Linked DNA regions of Arabidopsis thaliana. Each later gene encodes a partner of the first gene's protein in a complex. Each region holds a gene or a part of one and is shown on either strand. Other genes may lie near its edges.

Evidence for each region.
Region 2: VPS41 (region 1) and EMB2754 share a complex: the UniProt entries of both Arabidopsis thaliana proteins name them as parts of the homotypic fusion and vacuole protein sorting (HOPS) complex.

Annotation. Positions count from the first base shown.
Region 1 is NC_003070.9:2,563,198-2,573,428, forward strand, and holds the start of VPS41 (vacuolar protein sorting 41), read left to right. Parts: upstream 1-4,222; 5' UTR 4,223-4,454; coding exon 4,455-4,724; intron 4,725-4,963; coding exon 4,964-5,236; intron 5,237-5,314; coding exon 5,315-5,494; intron 5,495-5,590; coding exon 5,591-5,848; intron 5,849-5,950; coding exon 5,951-6,083; intron 6,084-6,171; coding exon 6,172-6,262; intron 6,263-6,358; coding exon 6,359-6,461; intron 6,462-6,821; coding exon 6,822-6,925; intron 6,926-7,010; coding exon 7,011-7,104; intron 7,105-7,275; coding exon 7,276-7,431; intron 7,432-7,510; coding exon 7,511-7,573; intron 7,574-7,680; coding exon 7,681-7,746; intron 7,747-8,067; coding exon 8,068-8,295; intron 8,296-8,386; coding exon 8,387-8,464; intron 8,465-8,552; coding exon 8,553-8,672; intron 8,673-8,800; coding exon 8,801-8,881; intron 8,882-8,994; coding exon 8,995-9,080; intron 9,081-9,298; coding exon 9,299-9,380; intron 9,381-9,468; coding exon 9,469-9,945; 3' UTR 9,946-10,231. Other genes in the region: AT1G08170 (Histone superfamily protein), read right to left, coding at 1-475; AT1G08180 (cyclin-dependent kinase inhibitor), read right to left, coding at 1,544-1,879. UniProt on the Arabidopsis thaliana protein: Required for vacuolar assembly and vacuolar traffic.
Region 2 is NC_003075.7:17,271,300-17,281,530, forward strand, and holds EMB2754 (Vacuolar sorting protein 39), read right to left. Parts: upstream 5,328-10,231; 5' UTR 5,226-5,327; coding exon 4,811-5,225; intron 4,735-4,810; coding exon 4,523-4,734; intron 4,436-4,522; coding exon 4,304-4,435; intron 4,206-4,303; coding exon 4,062-4,205; intron 3,864-4,061; coding exon 3,751-3,863; intron 3,644-3,750; coding exon 3,208-3,643; intron 3,019-3,207; coding exon 2,689-3,018; intron 2,516-2,688; coding exon 2,294-2,515; intron 2,210-2,293; coding exon 1,967-2,209; intron 1,716-1,966; coding exon 1,260-1,715; coding exon of another isoform or gene 1,212-1,259; exon of another isoform or gene 1,178-1,211; intron 1,169-1,177; coding exon 1,070-1,168; intron 990-1,069; coding exon 789-989; 3' UTR 465-788; downstream 1-464. Other genes in the region: AT4G36640 (Sec14p-like phosphatidylinositol transfer family protein), read right to left, coding at 5,888-6,190, 6,297-6,542, 6,627-6,725, 6,826-7,002, 7,089-7,148. UniProt on the Arabidopsis thaliana protein: Essential protein required during embryogenesis. Believed to act in part as a component of the putative HOPS endosomal tethering complex. HOPS is required for the central vacuole formation.

The sequences.
Region 1 (10,231 bases):
TCACCTTATACACATATCTCCTATACTCATCTCCCGCCAAATCGTCTCTCTTCTTCTTTTTCTTCTTCTTCTTATTCTCCTGCTTCTTCTCAACCTTATCTGTTTTCTTCAAAGTGCCTTCACTCTTGGAAGCGGGAGTTTCCGGTGGCTGAGGTGAAGGTTCATCTCGAACCTCCACCGGAGTCTCCGGCGGCTGAGGTGAACTTTCATCTCGATCATCCACCGGAATCTTAACGGTGGTAACGTTTTCTCCGACGGGAAGTGACCGTTCGTCTGGAACCTCCACTGGAATCTCAACGGTAGTAACGTTTTCTCCGACGGGAATGGAGAAAGTGAGATCTTGCGTCTCTTGATCGTTCGCTGTCTCGGTGATCACACACGGATCTCCTTCTTCCGTGACGGTTACTTTGATTGTCTCTTCCACTACTTTCTTCTTCTTCGTCACGGAAACAACCTTTGGTTTTCTCGGCGCCATATTCTTCGTTAGAAATAACCGAAAATGTTATGTGGTTAAGATTTAAAAAGGGCGTTTTGGGATGGGTCGTAACAGTACTTCTGCGATTGACATGTGGTGCCACGTGTCGTTCGAATACCTTAGCATTGGTGATTAACTGTCTACTACGCGGTGGTTATAAAAACTAAAAAGTAAGAAAAACTTATCCGGTGATTCGTATCTGTTTTAAATAACTAGCCCAAAGCCCGGTGGGCATATAAATGGGCTTAAATGACTAGATCTAAACGGGTCTCAAAAGCCCAATACAACATCCTTAACCGTACTTAATTTTACACAATATAATTTTTGTTTTCCATTATATATTTTTAATGAAATTATATGTGACCAAACGACACCACGATCACCCTTTCACCAGCACCAGTTTAGAAAAGAATTTCGTTCCCATAAACAATGTAATTAGGTTTCATTCCATTTCATTACAAATTTGAAACATGTTTGGACTGGCCGCTAATTATCTGATCGCTAAAAAACTTTTTTTTTCTAGTTCGTATTGTATTTTTCTTTCTATTTCATGGTTTTGTGGTAGCAGAAAAAAAAAAGGATCTCAGATATAAAGAACGTTGGGACTTAGGAGAGAGTAATTAGGGACGAGTAATTATTATCATAACACAGATATCATTATGAATCTAATCTTTAATTTATAAATTATGTCATGTTCGATGTCTGAATCATTCAATGCCAATTTTTTTACTAACAAAAAAAAATCACTACCAAACCAAAGTAATTATGTTTTTAACCCTAAACACCTAAAGATAGATGGTTATCATAATTCACCTACTAGTCTCCCATTCATATCTCTAAGTTCTTAACCCTGCTAAATCTTAGAAACAAAATCATATCCCACCATTTTTACAAAAAAAAAGAAGAAGATCGATATATACAAAATCATGTACAGAACCAGAGTTAAAATCCCATAAGAAAATACGAATTCGGACTAAAGATTTATTAAAATAGGTATATAAAAGTGATCGAAAATTATGTGTAAATCAAGTAAAGAAAGAAGAGTATATCTACAGAATCAAATTTGATTCAGGCACTATTACTCCTTCGTTTCTTACGGACATGGTTTGGTTCGTGAACAAATAAAGTCTCTACCTCTTGGCTCCCGACGTCGGTGGCTTCAAAGAACCGAAGATCTTTGGACAATCTTGTCTTCTTTGTGAGAGAAATCTCACGCGGTCGCTTTCTTGGCGGCGGAGGACACGTCTCCACCTCCGGAATCTTGTGATCACTTGAAGTTGGAGTACACAGAGATTCTAACAACTCTTCTTTCTTCGAGCTATCTTGATGATCTTCTTCTTCTTGGCTTCTGGGTTTCTGCTCTACTGTCTTTTCTTCTTCTAGGGTCTCGAGAAGCTTAGACATGGTCACATGGATGTGAAAGTTTCGTGGGCTTTTACCTTCCAAAGGAAAGAATATTAATTTGAAAGTGAAATTGGAATATAGAAAGTGATATCATATAGGTAGAGAGAGAGAGAGAGAGAAAAAAGAAGGGGATTAAAGAGTTTGTATTTTGCGAAAATGTACATGTATGAATTAATCTTGAATATTCGGATATTCAATGCTTTTTGTGCAACTTAATTGTCTTGGGAATTAGAAGTGAAACTTTTCAACTGCCCCTATGTCCAAACCTATAGAAATACTATGCCGGAGTCAATTAGTTAGTTAGATTCATTTGTGTTTACTGTTTAACGTAATTAATTTGAATATAAGTTTGGTTAATTACCCTTGTTACCTATTAAAACTTGAATGTTAACGGAGAAGCTTATCCAAATTAATGTCTCATGTGTCACATCATTCTTCGATTGTATGTCTAAATACGTACAAATGGTTGGCATAGGATACCATTTCATCAACTTAAAAATAATATTTTCATTTCATAATTGATGTCCACTTTCCGACTCGCCCCTTTGGAATTATTCGCTCCTTCGCAGCCTACTATATAAACCAATCAGATACCGCCATGTCATCCTCCACTGATTTGTGTTCGAGAATTGCTCATGTTACTGTAGTCTTTTCTCCATGAACAAAATTACTTACAACTTACAAGGCTAAATGATGTTTGATAGGTTTAACATTTTAATTACTCTGTGCTCTATATAAGTCCACAATTTGAATAATCAAACTGAAACCTGTATTTTAAGTTTGTCCCCCCATTGAAGTAAGTATATGGTTATGTTGGCATTTAGTGTTTGCATCGAATGGTCGTTTATGTCAATGAAAGACGTCCCGTCGCTGCCATTGAACGTACGTAATAAGCATTAAATCTTAACAGTGTGATGCAAAATTTCTCTTATAGCTCATCATCCTCTTTTTTTTTTCTTAAGAATTTGTTGCATGTGAAGATATTTGGTCACTAGAGTATCGTTTCTATAGATGTTCAAGACAGTAGTAGTTGGAAGGCCGTATTGAAAACAGTCTGAGATGGTAGAAAGAAAATCTTATTTTACATTGATCTAATATATGAAGACTCTTCTGATGATGCATATATATATTTCCAACTTCGTTTGCGCTTTATTCCTACGGATTGTCAAACTTTTAAGAGAAATATGTTGTCCTTTTAGGTTGTTATTGGTCATCAGGGAGATGTAGGGGCCATGACTGTACATTCTTTTTGGCCTATCAAAACTCGATTCTCTTTTTTAACTCATTGGATTCGTGCTGATCATGCTCTTTGAGAATGTATTCTTATAGTCAAATTCAAAACTGTTGTAGTTAACATTTGTTAAACAATTAATGGCTTTAAAGTCATACTTTTGATACCTACTAAAATAAAACGTTATTAATTATGTTGCAAATGGTTAGAAGGTGTAAGATATACAATGCAATTTGGTTAGGATTCCAGAAAAGGCTAAAGAACAGTGACACTACTAGCAAAAGTGAAAAAAAAAACATGGCCATATTTATGTATACAAAGTCTACGCTTAAGAGGAAAATGAAGGCAACAGTAAAATAGTGAAGAAAATGACAATCTTATAACTAAGAAGATAGAGACATATAACCCCATTTAGTAAAGAGGAAAGTTGTAATGAGAATGGAAAAAATAAAACCTAGAGACTCAGTTAATGGGTTGAAATTTCAGGCTAAAATATGTTTCGTCTTCTTGTACGACTACATATAACACACATAACAAAACTAAAACTCGTAAGGTGTATGTGTGAAACTAGTTGTGTATATACATAAGAACAAATGGTGAAAACCAGTAGTTAGGGATAGATCTCTGTCCAAACATATTCTTGATCGATCTTAGATCAATCATGCACTCATAGAGATCTACTTCGTTTGTTTGTTTATTAGACTCATTATCTCTATGAGTGATTGAGTATTATATGAATCCGTTTCTAAACAAAGATGCCGAAGGAGTTGATGTTGGGGTCTGATCGCGCCAGAAAACTTAGGTTTTTCTCTCTGTGTTTGAACCAAAAGTCGTGGTAACTCTGTCTCAAAGAATCTAATAAATCTCTAATTAGACCGTTTGTAAGTAAAAGAAAAAAAGCTTCAAGTTCAATGAAAAATAAAGATAATGATTGGGACTTTTAGGTTTGTTTGTGCTTCTTTAATTATTTTCTAACAACCTTTTATAGAAAAAAAACTCTAGACTAGTGAAAATTCGGAGAGTTTCATGTTGCTGCGACTACACCACGTCTCTATCTAAACAGAAAAGGGTCAGGTAAAGGAGATTAATGTAACAATCGCACACGTGGCACCTTTTTCTTTGTCGCCTTCCAAATCATTAATTAAATTTCCATTTATTTATTTTCTCTGCTGTCATCACCAATAATTTTAATTTAATTTTTACCAAAACCAGAATCAAAATTTTGAACGGAGAAGAAGATTGAATTCAGAAAGGAAGAGGCAGATCTGTTATTCTCTGTTGAAGTCTGATTGATCTGATCGGAGCTATTGCGGAGGAGGGGTTTACTGCAATTGCACGGTGGTAATGGCTGCGGTTCCGCCTGAAAACGGCGTGGACGGAGATGACGAAAGAGAGGAAGAAGAAGAGGACGAGGAGGAGGAAGAAGAAGAAGAAGAAGAAGAGAACGGAGATGAGGCTGAGGAGGAGCCACGTCTCAAATATCAGAGGATGGGTGGCAACGTTCCTGCGTTGCTATCTAACGATGCTGCTTCCTGCATCGCTGTTGCTGCGAGGATGATCGCGCTTGGTACGCACGACGGTACCGTGCGTATCCTCGATTTATTGGGGAATCAGGCAAGTTTTCCATTGATTTTTGGAATTTCGGGTCTATTTCAACATTGTACAAGTTTTAGTGTCAATTTCAACATTTTAGGAGTTTTAGTGTTTTGGTGATACTCCTCTAATGATGATGACCTGAGGTCGATAGATGTTAGGCTTTATTGGTTGGTGGTGGAACAGTTTAGTTAGTTTGCTTTAGCTATAGTTTTGTCAAAGTTCAATTTTTTTTGTTTTGTTTATGATGCTTTGTTCAGGTTAAAGAATTTCGTGCCCACACTGCTCCGGTTAATGACATCAACTTTGACACTGAGGGAGAGTATATCGGAAGCTGTTCAGACGATGGGTCTGTTGTTATAAACAGCCTTTTCACTGATGATGAGAAGATGAAATTTGATTATCATCGCCCCATGAAGGCCATTTCCTTGGATCCAGATTATACGAAAAAGCAATCTAAGAGATTTGTAGCTGGTGGCTTGGCTGGTCACTTGTATATGAACTCCAAGAAGTGGTTCGGTAATAAAGATCAGGTTTGTGAGAATGTGGGTAGATTACGTTTTGGAATAGAATCTACTCACCGTGAATTTGATAAGAGGCTAGTTTTGTAGGTGCTGCATTCTGGGGAAGGTCCAATTCATTCTGTGAAGTGGAGAGGAAGTCTCATCGCCTGGGCTAATGATGTTGGTGTTAAAGTTTATGATACAGCCAAAGATCAGCGTGTTACATTTATTGAAAAACCGCGAGGAAGCCCCAGGCCTGAGGCTTTACTACCCCACTTGGTTTGGCAGGTTCGTATAAATAACTCATTTTGTCAGATTACTTCTTTGATTGTGAATTCATATGTAACAGCGTTGATTTGAAGGGTTATTTTTTATTGTTTCCAGGATGACACTCTCCTTGTGATTGGTTGGGGAACATCAGTTAAAATTGCGTCGATTAAATCAGACCAGCAACAAACTGGAACTTTTAGGCAGATTCAGATGTCTAGTCTAACCCAAGTAGATATTGTGGCATCTTTCCAAACCAGCTATTACATTTCAGGGATTGCTCCCTTTGGTGATTCTCTGGTTATTCTTGCTTATATACCCATTGAAGGAGATGGTGAGAAGGAATTTAGCAGCACCACTACTCTATCGCGTCAGGTACTCTCTTTGTGGTGGTTTTGGTGTTGGGTATGAGATATAGGGACATAAATTTTGGCATGTCTTTTGGGAAGTGGTTGAGTCTGATTTTAAGTAATCCAGGGAAATGCCCAGAGGCCTGAAATACGCATTGTATCATGGAACAATGATGAACTCACAATGGATGCTCTTCCTGTACACGGCTTTGAGCATTACAAGGCGAAAGACTATTCCCTTGCTCATGCTCCTTTCCCAGGTCAGAGATTTGTTGGAAAGTAGTTTGTTTTCTAGGGGAAGGAAAGCATATGTTTGAATACTTACTCGGAAAATTGATGTGAGTGTAGGTAGTAGCTACGCTGGGGGACAGTGGGCAGCTGGTGATGAACCACTGTACTATATTGTTTCGCCAAAGGATGTTGTGATTGCCAAACCCAGGTAGATTTTTGTGGTCACTATTTCTTGTCCATGTTATTCTATTGCTTTGTAAATGAACCTTGCGGTCGCTAACTTATTCTGTTTTTTACTTGTTAGGGATGCTGAAGATCACATAAACTGGCTTTTGCAACATGGATTCCACGAGAAAGCCCTAGCAGCTGTTGAGGCTAGTGAAGGACGAACCGAACTAATTGATAAGGTACTTTTTCGAAAATAGGCGTTGAACCTTTTATTTGTCTTCGCATTATGGTTCATTCTTTCGCTCTTTACTGTTCTCTACTAAAATTGGATGAATGCATAGGAAAGTGTTTTTTTCCGTCATATTTTTTATTTTTCTATATGCAATATTTCATGATCTCGACATTCAAAAAACACACTTTAGTTTGGAATTACCCTTTTCAAAAAAGAAAAAAAAGAATTACCCTTTTCGTTATACCAAAGGATTCTCTGTTCAGATGTTTCATAAGCCTGGAAAATCTTGTTCGAGAAACCAACTGTTAAGTTCTCTTTTCTTTATTGTATAAACGATTTTCAATTCTAACACAAACGAGTTATCTAGGTGGGAGCTGGGTATCTTGATCATTTGATTGTGGAAAGAAAATATGCTGAAGCGGCATCTTTATGCCCCAAATTGTTACGAGGATCTGCTTCAGCCTGGGAGAGGTTTGAACAAATTTGTATCTCTTCTTTGCAAAGTGTTTGTTTTGGTTGTTTTGTACTTTATCTAACATCATGTGTCTCTTTTCAGGTGGGTTTTCCATTTTGCTCAACTACGCCAGCTGCCTGTTCTTGTCCCATATATGCCTACGGATAACCCAAGGCTTAAGGATACTGTGTATGAGGTTTGTATATATCAACAACTTTCTACAGATAGGCTTAAATGAAAATATTTTATTTCATAGAAATTTTAAAATAGATAAGTAAAAAAAAAAACTTTTCTTGTAAACGCAAACATTTGTTTGAAACAGTGGAGGCATAAGATTTATCTTGAAGTTTATTTCTTTACGATGCAGGTTGCTCTAGTTGCACTAGCAACCAATCCCTCATACCACAAGGAGCTTTTGTCAGCGGTTAAATCTTGGCCACGTTCTGTATATTCTGCTTTGACTGTTATCTCAGCAATAGAGCCTCAACTGAACACATCTTCAATGACAGATGCCCTCAAAGAGGTCAGCATTGTCTGTCATGTTAAGCTGAGGTTTATTAACATTTACGGATTCAGAGTTGTTTTATTATTTCATGTATCAGGCGCTGGCAGAGCTGTATGTAATTGATGGACAGTATCAGAAGGCCTTCTCCCTATATGCTGATGTACGTATGTACTAAGAAAGTATTTGTAAAATTATCTTCCCAGATCGTATTCAGGCCTCCTTCCGTTGATAGTCACCTAAAATTTCCTTTTCCTTTTTTATCTCCAGCTTCTCAAACCAGAAGTGTTTGACTTCATTGAGAAATACAGCTTGCATGAGGCGATTCGCGGAAAGGTATACCAGATTTTTTTTTTCACAGTTTGAGACTTCTAACATTATGTAGGCTTTTCCTGGACGATCCACAATTTAATCATCATCATTAATGTTAGCATCTTAGGGGTTCATGAATTTTTTCTTAGATATAGGTACAACTTCTGTGTAATACATAATTCAAACAAATCTGGAGATCCACAGCTGATTCCAATTTAAAGTTATGGGATGGTCTTGTGAGTAGTATTATCTTGGGATTTAGGCATATCTACTGCTATTTTGTTATGGCCTCAGAATTCTGCAATACAGACCGGTGAACTTTGTTTTCCTTATCTAATTGTGTAGGTGGTCCAGTTAATGTTGCTTGATTGCAAGCGTGCCACTGTCTTATTTATCCAAAATAGGGATTTGATTCCTCCATCTGAAGTTGTTCCACAACTTCTGAAGGCTGGCAAAAATCCACAAGTTCTGAAAGCTGGCAAAAAATGTGATTCAAGATATTACTTGTACTTATATCTGCATGCATTATTTGAAGTTAGTCATGATACCGGGAAGGATTTTCATGATATGCAGGTATGTGTAGTTAACTTGATATATGGAATGAATTTTTCCATTCTCTTTCTCTTTTGCTTAAATATTTTCTTAAAATGATTACATATTGTAGGTAGAACTCTATGCAGAATACGATACTAAGATGCTGCTTCCGTTCCTACGTAGCAGTCAACATTACAAGTTAGAAAAGGTACTTAACATTACAAGCAACCCAGCTTACTGAAATGAACTATCTCTGGGTTATGTCTTTGTGAACTTGATCTATTGCAATATCTCAGGCATATGAACTTTGTGTCAAGAAAGATTTTTTAAGAGAGCAAGTGTTTGTCCTGGGAAGGATGGGAAATGCAAAACAAGCTCTTGCAGTCATCATAAATAAACTGGGAGATATAGAAGAGGTGATTGTTACTGTGTGTTCAGTAACTGCTCTTTTTTCCGCAACCCCTTGTACACTCTAATTGATGTCTTTCTGACTGGTAATTAATAAAACAAGCTATGGTGGTTGACTTTGATTGATATTCTGCAGGCTGTGGAATTTGTGTCCATGCAGCACGATGATGATCTATGGGAAGAGCTGATTAAACAATGTCTAAACAAGCCTGAGATGGTAAAAGCTGTATTTGTGATGCAAATCACAACACAAACCAGTCTTGATTCTGGGAAACTTGTGTCCATGTAGTACTGTTTCCTTAATCTTCTGTTCTTTTCCACCAATTTTAGGTGGGCTTGCTGTTGGAGCACACAGTTGGCAACCTCGACCCTCTTTACATTGTAAATATGGTCCCAAATGGCTTGGAAATACCTCGGTTAGTTTTAACTATTACCCCTCATTGCTGTTACTCTATTCATGAGTTGGTTCAATCACGTGTTCTTACTTAAATAAACATCGACCCTCATCTATGTGATGCCAAACCTGTTGGTTTACCCAAAGCTAAGTTCGCACACAGAGCATTGGCAGAATCATATGCTTCCTGAACACTTTTCATCAAAATAATGTTCTCCTCATTGTTTCTTCTGCTTTCAGATTAAGGGATCGATTGGTCAAAATCGTAACAGATTACAGAACTGAGACATCTCTTAGACACGGTTGCAATGACATTCTCAAGGTACAAATTTAATGTCACCAATGTCCCTCTAATCATATATATCTGGAACAGACTCCAGGGAATTTGACGTGTGGGGGTTGTTGTACAGACGGATATTGTTAATCTTCTGGTCAAATGCTTCAACGAGGCTAGGCGTGGGGTCTGCCTGAGCCATGAAGACGACGATTCCCGTGCGAAGAGAGAAGACAATAATCGCTCATCATTCTCGCAGAGAATGGTAGTAGATAAATCTTTGAGCATAAAGATGACAGAAGTGAAGTCGAAGACACGGGGGGACACACGGTGTTGTATGTGCTTCGACCCGGTCTCGATAAGAGGGGACACTGTAGTGGTCTTCTTCTGCTGCCATGCTTACCACGAGACGTGCCTCATGGATGCAGCCTTCAGTAACAACAATCACAAGACAACCAAAGGTTCTTCGGGGTATGAATATAGCTACGATAACGGTGTGGATGAGGAGGAAGAGGATGAGGAAGAAGATGAGGATGGTGATGGAGACAGACCTGGGCGGTCGCGTTTACGGTGCATATTATGTACTACTGCCGCCGCTGCGTCCGCTCGGTAGCGACCCCTTTTGTGCATGTGTTTGTGAAGTATTTTTGGTGTGCTTCGAACATATATATATTTTTTTTTAAAGAAGAAAATGTTCATTGTTTGTTCTGTAGTTCTCTAAAATATAGCAAAAAGAGAAAGGCGAGAGATGGAGAAAACATGTGTGCCAGAATTTGTGCCTTTGTATTATTTCCCGATGAGTGGCCAAGTGTTACGATTGAATTGACTTTGAGTTTTTTACAAAGGCCAAGTTTGTTTCTCTTCCTTCTCTTTACGCTTAGTTTCTAAGCCCATACCTG
Region 2 (10,231 bases), on another chromosome or scaffold:
GTTCAACAAAAGGAAAACAATCAAATTGATGAGTTTTAAGAATATCAATTCAATAATCTTGTTGGAGGATGTCGTGTGCCGCCAAACACGAGTGGACAAAATGCGTGAAACGGGAAAGAGTAAAAAAGATTAAAAGAACACCAAGAGACCCAGAGAGAGAGGGAACAAAGAGAATCGGATCGGTCTTGAGATTGGTTAATTTTTGGTTCAATTGAGATACGGCGACCACCGCTTTCCCAAAAGATGCCTCTCTGTCTCTTATGCTCTTTGCTTCGTAGAACACGAAACCTAACCCTAACGATTACCCCAAGACGCAAAGTGTTCGACTTCGTAATTTCACATTACATGTCATGTCTCTTCACTCACGTGACTTCTAATCTTATTATAATCTAACTGAGCTGTTGAAGCCTGATAACGCCTAATCCAGCCCACGTTTCTTGGCCCATCATATCACCTTCATTTGGTTGAATGTTGTTAGATTTCGCACTAACATTCGTTATTTTCTTCGACAAGTCCCAATTACACAAAAATGAAAAGTCTTTATATAAACTAACAGATTTTACAACAAGAGCCAAACTGGTTTTGTCAAGAGTCAAGACCATCATTTTGAACCAAACACAAAAAACCACAGAAGAAAACACCAAAAAAGTAGCTCCAAATCTCTCTCTATAAACAGACAAACAACACGAAAGGAGCTTTTTCTTTAATTGCACTTTGGGAGTTTTGTAAAAAAGAAAAGATGGTTTAGTGTCTTAAACCTCTCTTTGTTACAGTAATTGATGATTACCTCATCGTCTTCTTCCATGTGTTGTCTTAGAAACAGCTTTCATGCCTTGAGAATCTCTGAAGCATACAAAGTGAACTAACGTTTTCCCGTTGGGATAAACAGCAAATACGCTTGTCCCTATCTTCTTGTTGCACAATGAGCACATGCTTTCGCTTGTTACTTGCGCTACTCCTTTCCTATGTTTGTATAGTTCCTCTTTCACCTATTCGTTTCACATCATCAATTTCACATACGGGTTTCTTTTAATGCTAGGTGTCAATAGTTCCAGAAACACAAACATACCTGTAAGTTTTCACTCTGCCTCAAACTCTTGATGACTGAAAAGTTTCTGTGAGCTTCACTTGAATTTCTTAGAAGGGGTGCAAGAAACGGAAGCAGGTTCTGTAGGAATTGGATAATAGAATAGGTGAGCTTCAATAAAATGCTAGTAAGTAGTTATGGGATAAGTATAAGTCAGATTCAAAACATTTACATGGAGTTTAGTTTCTCTAGGCAAAAGCTTGAGGGCTTGTGCACCGTTGATCCTCTCCCACCTTTGGCTCAACAGATCAAGAACTTCAGAGATCATAACGGTGGAGTCTCCTTCTTCCAAGGGTTCTTCAGTATCAACATCGCTTCTTCCACTGTCAGTGCTGCTACTGAGACCAACTCGCATATCCTCAGCGCCTTCTATTGCAACAATTTTCTTGGATCGGCCTCCTTTAGCTTTTGAAGATAAAACAGAGTCCATCATTTTTGTGGTGTCTGAACTTTCGAATGATCCTAGAGCTACAATTCGTTTTGCAAAGTCTTTTGCGCTTTTCTTAGGATTCAGGTATATTTGCAGCACTGTGAGGTAGATATTGCTTGACGGTTTTCCAGATGGTAGATAAGTAACAGACTCATATATACGATCACAGTAAGCCAGCGCCAGATCAGGTGCATGAAGCTATCAGAAAGAAAAAAACAAAGAGTTAAGCCATAAGCAACAACACTCCATAGAATCCACCGATATCTGAGTTCTAAATAGTTTCAGAGTATACTTATCTACACAATGATACAATTATCTAACAATGCATTTGCATATCAAAGTGTTTTTTACCACAACTGGCCAACAATTAGAAGATTATTTGGTGAAATAAATTAATGATATTTGGTTCATGTTAAAGATCGACAAAGCAAGCTCATGTTGATGGGTACCTTATGAACATAGATGGACAAAGCAAGCTCATGTTGGTTCATTTTGCCCAATATAACTGCACGCTCTTCATAGAGAGCATCACGTGGAAGACGCTTCAACAAAGGCTGCGGACTATATCCGGAGATGCTCTCTAACGCAGACAATAGTTTTTTCCTTTCAGGAGGATGATCCTTCTCATCCCATTTCTGCTGCGCACTCTTTGCAGCATACAAGTCAAGCACTTCTGAAAGATAGATTTGTACCTGTAACATCATCCAAATTGTTACTGCCAGCAATATGTAACGTAAACTCACTGAAAATGCTTCCCATAAGTGTGGTTTCCTCACCATCTCGTTTTGGAGATTTCCAGAAACTGCGGTGTCATTCATTGCCATCATAAGTTCTAAATATCTACCCTGCATATTTGGAGCATGCTGCTTCAGATACGAATTGACAAGGTCAGCTGAGATATTTCCAGACAAAAACAAGTCGATGGTTTGAGTTGGACAGCTTTCCAGGACAAGCATAGAATACTCCAAGACAAGCATTGGATCAGTCCTGCAGAGAGGCTGCAGAGAGAAATCCACCAACAGAAAGTTAGCATCTCACAGCTGTTTCTTAGAATACTCATTATTTTCAGTCAGTACCAAAATCAAAGGTGGTTAACAAATTTGTAGTTTTCTATAACCATTTAGAATCTAAAGATAGACAAAGACGAAAGGTTAGCACCGAGAAAACCTGCCTTGAGATATTCGATGATCAACTCAGGACTAAATATCTGTGTAACATCAGTTTGTGACTGGTTTGTTTTAGACTCATCCGCCAGCTGGTTAAGAAGCTTAAGGGCTTCATGGTGCATCGAATTGCTCTTGAACAGTTCTAATAGTGCAGAATAATTTTTACTTTTCATGAGAATCTCCTCACAAATCTTAACGTCACTGTAGTTGACACCCTTTAATAACTCTATAGCAGCTCCAGACTGGCCAGTGTGTAGAAGTGCTTGGAGAAGAGCTGTATCAAGGATTGCTGCCATCTCTCTTGCACCTGAATTAAGAGGGATCATACCACGTCCCTGCAGAAAAAAAGATGTTAAGTCCCCAACAAATTACTATCAAACGTACAAATCAAGGGAAGCTGCTTATATTATCCATGCATCAACTTCCAAGGAATTAGTCAGTCAGTAGCTCCCAAAAGCTTATAAAGTGTTAATATCCAAGAACTAGTCATCAATTAGGTATCGCGGAAGATAAATCATCTGCACCTTGCTGGACTTCTTAGACTTAGATGAATCATTTGCCCCGTAAGTTTTACCAACAGCATCCGAAATGACCTCTTCTGTTCCTTCAGAAGTGGCCTTCTCGATAACAGCCGGCCTCCTCTTCAGCAAGTACTTTATAAGAGCCATCAAAGTGTTGTGACTCATTTTCTTAGATTCAAGGTCTGCATTGTCCTCAGATTCCAAAAAATATCGAGGAGATGAAGACTCCATATCATCTGAAATGCCGGATGAACCTCTTGACAGAGATGCTTCATCACCAGAAATGTCCACCATCTTATCTGGTTGAGGAATAATAGTTGTTTTAGGAAGAATGATGGATGGATACATGGAAAGTACATGCGTGATATCTACTTGAGATGCGAGGAAGTGTTCCATGGCTTCCTCATAGCTCCCGTTCTCAAAAAGATAATGAGCAAATCTGTATCATGATAACGAGACAACAAATATGAACAAAAAGATTCCCATGGAACTGCACTATTAATGTGTAACTAGTAGAAGGAAGAGAGGGCTTCTAGCTTTACACACCTTGTGTGAATTGAACTCTCTTTCGCAGCTCGTAGGCTTGACTCATCAGGGGGGAGTACTTTGCATAGAGCTAAGGCTTCCTCAAAATTTCCCGAAGCTGTTAATTGCACAATCTACAATGAAACTCAACCTTTTCAAAATATTTCAAAAGCAGCTACTGCGAGTAAAATCAAAGTCTTTACAAAGAATACTGAAATAGTGTCATATTCAACCGATATATTAGGTAAAATGAAACACATTTTCATATTCATCCACAAGAAACCATGAGCAGCAGCAAGAAACATCAATATTCTCAGGGCTAAAGTGAATACCTGGGCACCAATAGAGACAGGGAAGAGAACATAAACAGAGTTATCCAAACCAACAATCACAGCATTGTTGCTCTTGACCAGGCGACGAATGTTTTGAAGAACAATTGTCTGTATTAAAGGATATGGACTTCGGAGCAAGCGAACCTATCAAAACAAAGCCAAAAGGAATAAGCACATAACAGGTATCCAGAAACTAGAAGGAAAGCAAAACTACAATATCTCTAGGCAGGAACCTTATATACCTCAACTCGACGAGGTAACAAGGCTATCGCATAAGGGTTTTGAATGACAATAGACGTTGGGGCCTCTGACCAACAGATTCTCTCTGTTTGAAGGAGCTTCCCATTTTGATCAACAAAAACTCCAATGTTCTCCTACATGTACAAGAAGAAACTAATGAAGACAACATTTCAAAACCGAACAAATACATTGAATGGGGGAAAAAGGAAAAGCATAACTACCTTTCCCAAAATAAGTTCACCAGAAGGTAGAGATATCACGAGAGGAGGAGCAACCCTACCAGAAGGAAACACCTCAGAGAGAGTCCCATTAGCAGTATTAAGTATCACATACTCTTTCTTAATGCCTAAACAGATGTTTTCTCCACACCAAGAAATAGACTTGACAGTATCAGGAACTCCATAGTCTCTGACCTCTACAAATCCTCCTCCTCCTAAAAAATCAACAGAAACAACATTTCATCAAAATCCAATCCTCATGATTCAAAGTTGAGTTTCAGAGATTTTTACCATCGTGCTTGAAAACACAGACTCTCTTTTGCCTAGAGAAACACAAGAACCCACGCCGATCATCCCAAGAATAAGCATTAGCACCTTTAGCTTTAGTAATCACAGCAACAGTCTCCAAATTAGGAAGTCCATGAAACGCAATTGACTCAGAGAGAGACAAAAGCAACTCTCTCGAAGCCAAAACCTCCATCGCCACAATCGGTTTCTTAGAGAATCCAGCTACCGTCTTCTCTAGCACGTAAGTCTCTTGATGCAGCTCCGACGGATCGGAGGCAGAAGATTCCGGTGGAGAGTAAATGCGGAGAGAACCGTCATAACATCCAGCGAAGAGCTTGGAGCCGTAGGATTCAACAGCATCGATCCTAGCGGGACAATCTTTGAGAAGCTGAAACGAATCATAAGCGTTGTGAACCATATCTTCGATCGATTTCTGGGTTCTTCTTCTGGGAATCACCACGCATTCATCATGTTCAAAATCCAATTACAACAGAGATGATTGATTTTTTATTTTTTTCACAACGTGCGTTGATAAATTATGAAAAAAAAGGAAAAAATCGTAAAATTTAAAAATTTAAATGAATTAAGGACAAATGGTCCCGGCGGGGCTCGAACCCGCGACCTTCGGCTCATAAGACCAACGCTCTAACCAACTGAGCTACGGGACCTTTTGTTCTCTTTAAGTTCAATATTATATTTAAAGTTTAATATTATATTTAAAGTCTAAGATTTGATCATCACCTCACTAGACGACAATAACTTCTCTGATTTCATCATAACTGTATTTAACTTGAGAAACAATAGAACTAAAAGGATAATCTCATATCTTCAACTAATAACACAAAACTAGTAGTATTACACATGGTAACAATATTCTCTCACACATACAGGATAGTCTCTGCTAATTAAAAACGTTACAAAGTGTTTGGCTCACTAATAAGAAAAAGAGGCAAAGACTATTTGAAACTTTATTGATCATCAAGTTAACCAGCACATTCTATTGGCTTTTCTTCTATGAATGAGAATAACCCTTTTATTCTTCTTCTCTTCTTGCTCTTGTGTGTATATATCGTTCAACTCTCAGCTAGCTGCTGATGCGATTTCTATCGCCGGCTCAGGAACAACATCGGATGGAGAGAAACCGTTTGTTTTCGGATAGTGCTTCCCCTCTAGTCCCCAGTATTTTGCGGTTTTGAGATCGTCTTCATACATTTGTCGTGAGAAATCTTCATGATCATACTCTAGTGTTGCTTCACCTCCGAATTCCTTGGGGAGATTCTCAACGTCAAAATGTGTCGTCATCAGTTCATCACTTGCTTTGTCTTTTGGGTACACAAATTTCACCTTTTCAGCTGTACGTGGGTCCAAGAAGTACTTAGCAGCCTACATGAAAGAATATAGTAGGTATATAGTAAACCTTTTTAAAGAAAAAGAGAAGAGAGACAATTTTGATGGTTTTGTAATAATGACGAATGTTTTTTTTGTGTACCCTGTAGACTGCTTGGAAGAGTCTTGGTGGATTGTAGAGAAAGGCGATACCGAGTCTCTCAGGGTAATAGTTCTGTAGAATGTGAATGATTTCGCGTGTTGTTTTCATAGGAGGATTAACAGCCATAGACCAACCAGTGAAATCAATGAGCCAAGACATTTGTTTTTGTCCCTTGGGAAGATTTATGATTGCATTTTCAAGAAGATACACCAAATGCCTGATATTACCTTCTTGTGATGTTGAGTTCTGTTTCATTTTTATTAAGTGAGATATCATTTTTAAAAAAAACTCAAGAAAAATATTCATAAAGGTGACAATGGGCTTAGTTACCTGCATGGCTGGTCTCATTATAAGCACTACTCTACCTTGTCGATCATGAAAACTAGCTCTTGAAGCTTTTCCGGTCTCACCTTCATGTGCTACTTGATTCTGAAGAGAATCAGAAGAAGATGATTAAAAAAAAAGTAAGAAAAAAATACAAAGTAACAAGAAGATTAAAATGAAGTATATAATAAAGTCAAATATTTACCCAACGGATCTCTTGAGGTTTATAAGTTGATCTCCATTTAAGAGTCTCTTGGATCATTTTCTTGGCTTTTTCCACATCCCAATTACGAGCATCTAGAAATCTCCTCAAGGAAGCATCAGAGCAGAAAACTAAACTATGTCCCGATAATGGTCCTATCGCGGATTTCAATTCTCTAACCTGAAATTTGTACAAGTGTTTTAAATACTTTCCAAAATATATGTTAATGTTTTCATATAGTGTGAAAAAGAAGCAGCTTATTGTACCTTGTTATCTTGTTGAGAATCATCATTGTCGAGTTGGTGAGCATTCCTTCTTCTGAACATGTTTAATTAAACAACAATCTTGAGACAGCTTCGAAGCCTAGAAACGATCAAATCAAATTCAGATTTCTTTCAAGTCCAATTTAAAGCAAATTAAATCAGATCCAAGATTAAGCAAAAGGTTTTAATAATATCGGCTATTAATAGAAAACTGATAAACACAACCAAATCTTACATCTAAAACGGGATCATGAATTCTATTAGTATTTACCACTTGAAAAATCTCTAATGAGGTATACAAATTTTCGTTATAATCCAACTTTGAATCTTCTTAACATCTGATAAACTCTCTTCTAGAAAGCATTAAATCGACTTGTCAAAAGGACATAAATACGGCTTTAAATGATTCAAAGAATTTCTTATATTTGACTTTTTAAAAGCACACAAACAGAGAATTTATCAAAAAAACAAAACAAGACTCTGACATCTCTCAGCCATCAAAATTTTCTTTCTTTTTTGGTCACCATGAAACTTTTTTCTAAATATGATCATGAAACATTGAAACCTAAACATTTCTAATCAAGAGAGACTTGTAAAAACAGAAGGAAGCTAAATCGAAGCAAAACGATCGAGAATCAAACACAAACGAATCAAAATCGAAACGTAAAAGGGAATCTCATTCTTACCTAATAATACGGATCTTTCTTTCTTTCTTTCTTTCTTTCAGTAGATTAAACTGATCACAGAGAGAGAGAGAGAGGCTCGATGGAGTTTGGTCGTCACGCGAGTATCATTCCCACTTCAAAGGGACTTAAAAAGCGAGAAACGTGAAGAAAATGTATTTTAACCAATTTATGTGGCATGTAAAATTTCAATAAAACTTTAAAGCTGGCCCTTTGTTTGTTATTGTGAAAGGCCCCATTGGTTGAAAATAATAAATATGATTTACTTTAATAACATTAATTTTCAGTATTGGCGTTGGACCAAATAACTCAGATCTGAAATGATTTTATGACAAGAGGACAAGATCCGAATTTGGTGAAGTAATAACAAATTTGGTCATTTTCCAAAATTCTAACCTTCTTTCACGTTTAACTAACTCTTATCTGTCTTTGTTTATTGTGTCACGATAGAGAACAGGTAAATTATGATTAGAAAACTTATTGAGTTCACTAATTAGCTTCAAAATAATTAAAAAAATGTAACAGTTTTTTCATACTATATTCATTATGTATTTATGTGCAAACCACTCTTTCATGGTTTTAGGTAGAAGAACAAAAAAACGAAGAAGAAAAGTCCATAAAGGACAGCATCAGCTAATAATAATAATTAAAATGTAACGTTTTACTCGATCTATTGATTTTTATAATATTAAAGATTCGGTTTATCATCGCAATCATGTGCGTATGATTTGGTTTAATCAAATTAAACGGTTCCTGGACTATGTTAGTTAACATATATTTGGTTTTGTATTATATTAACAGCATTGACAATGGACGATTATTAAATGGCATACAATTTAAAATAACACCATGTGACGTTAATCCGACACCAAATCTTTTCTTAATCTGATACTTTCATATCATCTCTTCTACCAAGATATATATTGGTCTTCTATCAAATAGGTATACACTGAGAATAATGTTATTTTATATTGATAGTTTCTCTGTATTTGGAGTCGACGTTTTCTTCATATAATCGAAAGAACATCTTATCAGTTGTTGTTAAATTGTTGTTGTTACTTGTTACCACATAAAAAATATTAGTATTCAAATGTTGCCGACCTCAATCAACTGGAATTTAACAAAACTTTATATGCATAATGTTATCTATATGAATGAAAGGTATTTATAATATTGAATAGTCTGTATCACACAAATTATTATTAGAAATTATTAATACTAGGTTTTAAAAAAAAAAAAAAAAAAAAAAAAACTAGCATTATAGCAAAACGAAAATGTAACACTGGTTTTCACTCTTTCTAAAACCTAAAAACCAAACCAAGTAAACCGGATTGTCCACCTCTATATATAACATATTTAAACCATATATTCAATATGACATTGTTTGTTTAAGAAAGTACATGAATTTTTAAAGTTCCTTTAAAAAATATGAAATTAATTACCTTAACTTTTTTTTTATATTATAAAAATATTCTTTATCAACTAAGAAATGACGAATACATAGAGATGGTGAATGAGTTAGCCTTGATAAATATCATAACCCAACAATGATTAACAGAGTTTTGCAGTCATCTTTCATTAGTATGTTTTTTTATTACTGTTAAGTGAATTATGCTCCTTGCTTATTGCTTGTAGTCCAAATAACACAACTAGTTAGGACTTAGGATGTCAGTCCATGTTTAGACGCCGTTGCTTTAAAAATGATCAATTCCACCTTCCTCCGTGGCAGATGCTAAATTTTACAGAGGCCCTTTTACGGCTGCCCTGGTTTTAGCAATAACATCGGCAGATCATATTCAACACACATAGATTTGAAATATTGTGTTATACAATGACATGATAAAGGTAAAAGAGGATAGAAAGTCGACAGATCTGGATGGATTCGAACCACCAACCTCTCATAATGAGAGCTCTACCATTTTGAGCTTACAGATCTATTAGCACAAACCTTGCCTATTTGGATCAACTCCATGGGCTACCGAGAATCATTTCTAATATGGTCGCTCCAATATTCCACCCCACTTGAAGCATCCTGAAGACGGAAAGCCCACGGTTGCAAGAGTTTAATAAAACCAAATTAGATATAAATCAAACTTGAAATTTATATATAAAATCATCAAATAGAACTAATTTGAAGTAGTAACACCACAGAGTTGTATGATATCAAACAATGATCAATGCATAAACTGAAACTGACTTATTAAATTTGAAAGATCCCATCAGAATGCAAAAGTCTAAAAAAAACTACTGTACGAAATGATACAACAACAGAGTATATATCAATCGAAACTGCAGGCTCGAATCGAGTCCAAACGCCATCATATCAAAAATCAGAGACCTTCGATACTCGTATTACTTCTCCAGGAGCTAGCTACTCTAGCCATAGCTCTTGCTAATGAATGCAGCCGTGATAAATCCAAATCGTAAAACCCATACGAGAGACTAAATACTACAGCGCTATTT